Cricetulus griseus: one gene and its partner. The protein of the gene in region 1 purifies or fractionates together with the protein of each later gene. This does not show direct contact. Links are inferred from orthologs where the notes say so. Each region holds a gene or a part of one and is shown in the gene's direction. Other genes may lie near its edges. The genes, in order: Irf2 and interferon regulatory factor 2-binding protein 1.

The links.
Region 2: the proteins of Irf2 (region 1) and interferon regulatory factor 2-binding protein 1 purify together in Homo sapiens (affinity purification with mass spectrometry; 4 studies listed by BioGRID and IntAct, counting the BioPlex papers as one, with this or other methods). This does not show direct contact. The link is inferred for Cricetulus griseus from reciprocal best matches to the Homo sapiens genes IRF2 and IRF2BP1.

Annotation. Positions count from the first base shown.
Region 1 is NW_023276807.1:39,912,726-39,917,248, reverse strand, and holds the start of Irf2 (interferon regulatory factor 2), read left to right. Parts: upstream 1-1,621; 5' UTR 1,622-1,805; intron 1,806-3,174; exon of another isoform or gene 3,175-3,347; intron 3,348-4,523. UniProt on the Homo sapiens protein: Specifically binds to the upstream regulatory region of type I IFN and IFN-inducible MHC class I genes (the interferon consensus sequence (ICS)) and represses those genes. Also acts as an activator for several genes including H4 and IL7.
Region 2 is NC_048602.1:28,364,011-28,368,230, reverse strand, and holds interferon regulatory factor 2-binding protein 1, read left to right. Parts: upstream 1-1,467; 5' UTR 1,468-1,504; coding exon 1,505-3,265; 3' UTR 3,266-3,684; downstream 3,685-4,220. UniProt on the Homo sapiens protein: Acts as a transcriptional corepressor in a IRF2-dependent manner; this repression is not mediated by histone deacetylase activities. May act as an E3 ligase towards JDP2, enhancing its polyubiquitination. Represses ATF2-dependent transcriptional activation.

The DNA of each region.
Region 1 (4,523 bases):
CTTAAAGCAGTACTGTAGAGAATGACAGAGCAGGGCACTCTGGCCTCTGTGAGTACATGACTCGCAAGCACGCGCGTGCGCGCACGCACACATACACACACACACACACACACACACACACACACACACACACACAAACACACACCACATGTACTCATGCACACAAAAAGTATGCAAGAAAAGAATGGCTGGTGGTTATGAGGTTTTTAACTTAGGTGCCTAGTTGATAAAGAGGGACAACTATCTCAAAGTTTGTATACTCTCATGGTTATTGATGTATATAAAATATGAAAGCAAGGTTTGTACAGTGTTATTAGGGGAGGAATAAAGGACAATGTGTGCCTGAGGGAAATCTATTTTTAAGACAAGACAGAGTCCTTAATCTCACCTATTTCCTTCCGCAAGTACATGGGTACACTTCCTTTTCCTGTCTGTGGAATGACAAACAGGAGGTAGAATTAGCTTTCAGATGTGTACACATAGGTAGTTACAATCTCCTAGGATGGGACCTTCTCTAATGGCTAGAGAAGGACTATGAAACTGTAAGCCAAGAAAGAAACAGGTGTAACTAAATGCAACAAAATACTTTTAAAGTTAAAAGGCCAAAGAGGAGGTTCCAAGTGAGCTGGCCCAGTAGAGCTAATAGGCAATAGCTGCTGCACCTGTCATAGGTACCCGGCCTTCTTCTTGAATTCTTTATCATCTCCACTGTACAGCGTGGAGGACAGCGGCCAAGGATGTCCAGCTAATAAGGGGTCAAATTTGAACTCGGCTATAAGTAATTTGCAGTATTAGCTTTCCCTCCAGGGCCAGCCACAACCAAGACATTTTAAGTTAAGTAATACACAGCCTTGCCCATCTCATCTTGCAAAGAATGGAACATGAAAGTAGCCTTGGAGAGTGACTTACTTGGGGAAGGCCTTTCTAATCATCCTAGCTCCCACACAGAGTGCCAGGCTGCCCCTTCACCACTCACCCCCAGTAGAAGATCCAATAAAGTAGAGAGGCAAGTAATGCTCTCTTTTCAGCTGACTTCGTTCCTAACATTCCTTTGCAACGGGCGACTCTCCAAGATAAGTTTCTGTGTGCAGCCTGAGCACAGAGGTTCTGAACAGTTAACACACAGGTCAGAAAGGGTCCCCAGGCTTCCCAGCCTCCCTCTGGTCCTTCCCACCTTCAGGTAGGATGCAGAGACAGGTACCTCCTTCCTTCCCCATGGCCACTAGCTGGTGGCCAGATCCCAAGCCTGCGCCTGGCCCGCCACTTCTGGAGCCCCCTCTCCAGCGTGGCCACGGTGAAAAGCGAGCGACCCTCGGCGCGAGCCACACACTCACGCGCTACCGCTTGTTGCTCCCCGCAGCCGCGACGTGGGGAAGTGAAAATGAAATTGACTTTTCCGAGAAATGATGAAAGCCGCGCTGCCCGCCAATGAACAGCGGCGGCGAACTTCCGCACCTCCCGGCTGGCGGCTGGAGCCCTCCCTCTGCCTCCACCTCCGGGTTGCACAAGCTTGAAACAAACACTGGGGAGGAAGGGCGGGGAGGGAGGAGGGCGGAGGGGGAGCGAGGGAGGGAGCGGGGCCGGGAGAGGGCGGGGGTGGGGGGATTTCCAGCCTCGGCTCCTCGCAGTTTCCTCTCCTTGTTTTGCTTTCGATCTGGACTGTTCTCAGGCGAGCCGGGGAGTAACTTTTAGTTTTGCTCCTGCGATTATTCAACTGACGGGCTTTCATTTCCATTTTACACACCCTAACAACACTTACACCTTGCGGGATTGTATTGGTAGCGTGAAAAAAAGCACACTGAGAGGTAACATTTTTTTCAAATAATAGTTGTGACTGTGCGTGTGTTTTCTCTCGAGGGCATGTTGATGGGGACAGGAGGAGCTCTGTATGTATGTGCGTCCTGATGCTTTGACACGATGTTTTGCAGACGGAAAATGCCGGGGTTCATAAATATTAATACCGATTTTTGGAGGAAGAGTCGGCGCAGTTATGGATCATCTGATTTTAGGGGAAGCAGGGTCTGCTGCTGTTGCTGCTGGTACTGGGGCTGCTGAGGCTGCAAGGAGGAGGAGGAGGTAGAGAGGGAGGAGGAGGTTAGTGGAGGTTTAATTTCACTTTTGGATTTGCAGATGCGAAGAGGTGGCTCCATGGACACAGATCTGCTCTGTGTGATTCTGCGCCCCAGGTGTCGTGCGTTGTGGGTGCAGGTCCGCCGGAGTCGGGCCTCATTTAAAATAATATTGGGGTGCGTGTGTGTGTGTGTGTGTGTGTGTGTGTGTGTGTGTGTGTGTGTGTGTGTATGTATGTATGTGTGTGTTTACAGACACTGTCGCCACCGAAGGTCCGAAGAAGGGAACCGGGTTCTTCTCGGTACCCGGCGGCCCTTCTCTCTCGGCAGTCTCTGGTGTAAATAGACTGGCACCCGCGGTCCCCAGATACCCATGCCCGGGCAGTGGCCACAGTAAACTTGATGGGTGCTGTGAGGCGCTCCCGGGATGTGCTCGCCCATGGGGCTCGGGATCGGGTGACGGGCGTCGGGTGCCAGCGATCACTCGGGCCGGGCGGGCTACGCGCGCGGCTGGGCGCGGGCCTGGCCGGCGCGCCCGGCTTCCTGGGGGCTGGGCCGCCGCCACTCGCTAAGGACGTCGCGTCCTCCTACCCGCCGGCCAGCGCCTGGCCTGGCCTCGGGGCTTTGTCACTGAATTTGTCTCAGCGCTCAAGGCTCCCGAGAGGCGCGTCCCAGGAGGGCTCTGTGCGCAGGGGTCACCTACCCCGGCGCGGCCTAGCTGCGAGCGCCTCCGGGTCCCCGCGGGCGCCCCCGGGCCGGCCTGGCGCGCTGGGCCCGACCCTCCTTGGCTACGGAACGGGCGAGGTGTGGGGGCGGGGAGCCTCCGGGGACTGAGCGGCGCCCCCGCGGGCAGGAGTGGGGGCCTGGCAAGCCCTCGGGGGTCTCCAGGACGCGGTGGAGATCTGAGTGCCCGCCCCGTGCCCTCCGACCCGCTCCGGGCGCCGGGTGACATTCGCCCGCCGGCCGAACATGGTTGGTGCAGAGCGGCAGCCGCCACTTCCTCTCCGCCCAGCCGGCCCGGTTCTCTGGGCGAGCGATGAGGGCCGCGGCCAATCGCGGTGCCCGGCCAGTCCCCGCCACACGGCCTTGGGGGCCGGCGCCCCTAAGTCGCCCGGGAAGCCTTAGCGAGAGCGCAGGGCCCGGACGCGGCAGCCGGTGCCTCCGCTGGGCCCCGGGTCTTGGATCCTTGGCCACCCTCAGCCCCTTGCCCCTTAGGAGCAGGGAAGTGAAGGAGGCCGGCAGCCTCAACCCTGGGCCAGGACTGTGCTCGAGCACCAGGTGAGACACCCGGGTCAGCCGGTGGAGGCAAGACCCTTGGAGGTCGGATGTAAATAAGACCCTGGGGGTTGGCAGTCGAGGTCATCACTCATCTGCTGGCCCGTTTGCAGTCCTTCTTAACCCCTCCGTGTTTGAAACTTGGGGACATGTTCCTCCTCCCCTCCTCCCTCCGGTGTGGGCACTCCCTATGTCCTTGGTTGCGTCTGTGCCAGGAAGGCAAAGTGGTGCTGGGGTTAGCTTTCTGCCACTGGCCTCCCTGTGGCTGGGACTCCGGGCTGCTCTTGATGAATGGCTCCGGAGGGTGGAGGATAGTTACATTTCCTGTTGTGCATTTTCAGGAATTACCGAGGTTGTCGTCAAGCCTGAAGTCATTTATTAGCTCTTTCACAGCGACTGACTGCAAATAACATTTGAAGTTAGCAGCCTGTACTTCTGGTACTTAAGGGCAGGTGCAGGACGGGTCTGTTAGCCCACTGTTTACAGACGGTGCATGACGGGATGGTAGGGTAGACAGATGTACACTGCCTGGTTAGGGCAGGGCCTCAGAGGTCGCCCTGTTTAACTTAATCGCTCGTACAAGTTCGGGATTCTATGATTTTCTCAGCTCTCATTCTTTTTTGCTGGAGTGGGGGGTGTCACAAAAATAGAAACGGATGCAACCTCAGAATTTGTCTTTTCTAAGGCAGATTCAAGCAAATGGAATATTTAGGATTTGAGTTGGCATCTCTTCTAAGGGGTAACTTTGGAACGTCTATTGATTGATGGGGCAAAGTCCAGAATTTCACTGTAATTGGTGAATGATTATAATTTACACCCTCGCTTGTGTAAGAAGTTAGGTGTTGGCCTGCGCTTAAACCCGGGAGATCTTGTCTGTTATGATTTGTTACTGCTTCTTAAAATTAAACATATTTCATTCTCAATGAGTTGTCTTTTTTTCTGTTGACCAAAGTTAGGAATAGTTCCACATGTTTCAGACTCACTTACCTGTAAAATTCGAGGGTTTGTAATCAAATTTGGAGCAACTTAAGTCTAAAGAGGAATTGCCATAAAGTCTTGACAGCTCTGTGAACTATAACTGTACTTTTCTCCTACTCTACCTCCTGGAAAACTCCATTAAACAAATATTTAATATAACACAACTAGTGAGAGCTACTTAAATCTAGGAGTAGAATACTT
Region 2 (4,220 bases), on another chromosome or scaffold:
GTAAAGAAAAAAGAAGAAAAAATGCCATCTAGCAAAAAAAAAAAAAAAAGGGGGGGGGGCAAGAATCGGGAAGGCCTCCCCCAACCTTCCAGGCAGAGGAAGTGCGTCAGTGCGTCCATCTCGCAGAGCATTTTGGGAATTGTAGTGCGATTGGGGGGAGCGCGGGGAAGCGGACTGTGTAACCCTTTGGAGACCAAAGCGCCTGCACAACTGGAGCCGACTCGGAAAGCGCTCAGCGCCCCCTCCTTCGACAGATGAGGCCCTGGCTCCGGAGCCTTCGGTCCTCTCCTCATCCTGTGGCATGCGGGCCTCCCTTGAGGCTCGCACCCCTGGGGGAGGACAAAGTGGCTTGGAGACACCCCTTTCCAACACGGTCGCCTGCTTCCCGGTCCCTTGAAAGCATCCAATCAGAACCTCTCCGCCCCATCTCAAAAAAGCTGCTGCCTCCCTCACCCGTCATTGGCCCTGCTTGGAGGGGCGGGATTCTCAGAGAGGGCAAGACTCTTCTCTGAAACTGCTCAGCAAATCAGAGCAGCAGCAGAAAATGCTCGCCGGGGTTCTGGGCCTGGAGTTCCAGCACTGCAGCCCCGCCGCTAGGGATGCTGATGCAGGAGGGCCGCAGCCAGTCTCAAGCCAGCCTAGCTTATCGACGCTGGCCTTCTCAGGCCAGCCTAAGCTAAAATCCAAAGTCTCAACATCAGAAGGCGGGAAAAAAAAAAAAATGAATGCCCAGCACTTGTCCTCCCCAAGCATTTATGAACCCACGATCCGTCCCCTGGACCCCCGTGTTGCGAACCCAGGCGAGCCACAAGAAAGGAAGCACGCAGGGGCCAGGCGCGCGCCCACTCTTCTTTTCTTTTCTTTTCTTTTCTTTCCCGCCACTGCTTTCTGCCCAAGTCCCCTTTAAGAAGCAGCCCCGACGGGACTACATTTCCCAGAAGGCTTTGCCCGCGCGTTATGTAACTTTCCCTGCGAAGCGGCCTCTGGGGCAGAAGAAGGAGGTGGAGGCGGCGGCGGCGGCCGTTGCAGCGGCGTCGGCGGCGGCGGGGCGAGCGGCGGGGCGAGCGGCGGGAGCCCGGGGCGGCGGCGCCCGAGGCCCATCGGGGGAGCTGGAGCTGTGCATCCTGACTCACGGTGCGGACCGGAGGAGGGCGCCGACGTGCGTGCTCGCGGCTTGCCTTTTCCACGGGAGGCGGGAGTGAGGAGGAGAGAAGAGGAAAAAAAAAGAGAGAGAGAGAGAGAGAGAGAGAGAGGAAAAAAAAAAAAAAGGCTCAGGGCCCAGGGGGCGTGGAAGGGGGGCCGGGCCTGAATCCGGCGGGGAGGCCGAGCGCAGCCGAGCCGAGGCCGGACCGAGCGAGCAGCGGCTCGCACGCCCGATCCCCGGGGCCCGGCGGAGCGAACGTGGGCGGCGGGTGCACCGCGGGGGGCCCCCGGCGGCTCTCCGGGGGTTCGGGGGGGGGATCGGTGGCGCGGCGGCGGTGCGGTGTGGTGGTGGTGGGGCGCCATGGCTTCGGTGCAAGCGTCCCGCCGCCAGTGGTGCTACCTCTGCGACCTGCCCAAGATGCCTTGGGCCATGGTGTGGGACTTCAGCGAGGCCGTGTGCCGCGGGTGCGTGAATTTCGAGGGCGCCGACCGCATCGAGCTGCTCATCGACGCCGCCCGCCAGCTCAAGCGCAGCCACGTGCTCCCCGAGGGCCGCTCGCCGGGACCCCCGGCCCTCAAGCACCCGACCTCCAAGGACCTGGCCTCGGCGGGCACCCAGGGCTCCCAGTTGCCGCCCCCGCAGGCCCAGGCGCAGCCATCGGGGACCGGAGGTAGCGTCTCGGGCCCGGAGCAGCGCTACGACCGGGCCACTTCGTCGAGCCGCTTGGCGCTGCCCTCGCCGGCCCTGGAGTACACCCTGGGGTCCCGCCTGGCCAACGGGCTGAGCCGCGGCGACGAGGCGGTGGCCGAAGGGGCTCGCCGGGCCCTGCTTGGCTCCATCCCCAGCCTGATGCCCCCCGGGCTGCTGGCAGCTGCGGTGTCTGGCCTCGGAGGGCGAGCCCTGACGCTGGCACCTGGCTTGAGCCCGGCCCGTCCACTCTTCGGCTCCGATTTCGAGAAGGAGAAGCAGCAGAGGAATGCGGACTGTTTGGCAGAACTGAACGAGGCCATGCGCGGCCGGGCGGAGGAGTGGCACGGGCGCCCCAAGGCTGTGAGGGAGCAGCTACTGGCGCTGTCTGCCTGCGCCCCTTTCAACGTCCGCTTCAAGAAGGACCACGGGCTGGTGGGAAGGGTGTTCGCCTTCGATGCCACCGCCCGCCCCCCCGGCTACGAGTTCGAGCTGAAGCTCTTCACCGAGTACCCCTGCGGCTCCGGCAACGTGTACGCGGGGGTCCTGGCGGTGGCCCGCCAGATGTTCCACGATGCCCTCCGGGAGCCGGGCAAGGCCCTGGCCTCGTCGGGCTTCAAGTACCTCGAATACGAACGCCGCCACGGCTCAGGGGAATGGCGCCAGCTGGGAGAGCTGCTCACCGACGGGGTCCGCAGCTTCCGAGAGCCCGCTCCTGCCGAGGCCCTGCCTCAGCAGTACCCAGAACCGACCCCGGCTGCTCTGTGTGGCCCGCCACCTCGAGCCCCCTCCAGGAACCTGGCGCCCACGCCACGCCGGCGCAAGGCGTCCCCCGAGCCCGAGGGCGAGTCAGCCGGGAAGATGACCACGGAGGAGCAGCAGCAGCGGCACTGGGTGGCACCGGGTGGCCCCTACTCCACGGACACGCCTGGTGTGCCCTCGCCCATCGCCGCCCTCAAGAATGTGGCCGAAGCCCTGGGCCACTCACCCAAGGACCCTGGTGGGGGTGGAGGCCCGGTGCGCACAGGGGGAGCCAGCCCAGCCGCCTCCTCCACGACCCAGCCACCAAGCCAGCATCGCCTGGTGTCGCGCAACGGAGAGGCAGAGGTCAGCCCCACGGCCGGGGCTGAAGCTGTCAGCGGGGGTGGTAGCGGCACAGGGGCGACCCCTGGAGCCCCCTTGTGCTGTACCCTGTGCAGAGAGAGGCTGGAAGACACCCACTTCGTGCAGTGTCCCTCGGTACCCGGACACAAGTTCTGCTTCCCCTGCTCTCGAGAGTTCATCAAAGCTCAGGGCCCAGCTGGAGAGGTGTACTGCCCCAGCGGAGACAAGTGTCCGCTGGTGGGTTCCTCCGTTCCCTGGGCCTTCATGCAGGGCGAGATCGCTACCATCCTTGCTGGAGACATCAAGGTCAAGAAAGAAAGGGACCCCTAGGCCGCCAATGCCATCGATAGGCTACTTACCCCGCCCCCCCTAGACCACCCACCGCAGTTCTTGCGGATAAATTATTCCCTACCCCGCCCAGCCCAGTACCGCCCTAACCTGTGTATATACCCTCTTCCCCTACCCGGATGGATCCCCTAGGGTAGATGCATTGTGGGTGGGGGGAGAGCTTGTGGCTCCTGTCAGAGCAGGCGTTTGGAGTTCCTGGGTCCCTCCGATTTCCTTCTCCTTTCTTGGCTTGGCTTTTTCTGCTGTTGGTAGTTGGGGAGAGAGATGCCCCGCTTGTCCTCGAGGGGAGGTCTCCTGAGAACTCGCTCTTTATAAACGAAGCAAAAGCATTTTATTGCTCCCCTCTCCCACCCTTTCCCTCCTTCAATAAACCGAAAGATGGTTTTTTTTTTTTTTTTTTTTTTTTTTTTTAAATCCTCTCCCCTCCTTCCCCTCCTTCCCCTCCCCTTCACGGTCCCTTTAGTTGTGTGAGATGCTGCGCCCCCTTCGGGACTGGACGTGTCCTGCGAGAAGGTGGACTTCTGCTATGTGACCACGGGGTGGCGCCCTTTGTCCAGCGGGCGGCTGTTTGTAGTGTACGTTTGCTGTGCTCATTAAAAGGTGTAGTCGAGGCTGGTGTTGCAGACGATGGAACTGAGGTTCTGATAGGGTTTGACTCCCGCGTGGGGAGCGCAGACAAGCCGGGGAGTAGGTATGCGCTGTAGCTGGCCGGTACTCTGAATGTGGGAACCATCGGAGGAGGGGACAGGAAGAGGGGCACTTCCTAGACCAATTTACGTGAAGGTGTATTTCTAGGGTAACTGCCCTGGGTAGAGTAAGTTTTACTTTCCCCGGGCAAACAGGGTAACTGGAAGCAGGGTGATGGTGCCTGAGAGGCGAACACACCCGAGAAACCTATCCTGGGTTCACGTCTTTCATCTGGGGACATGGCAGCCAC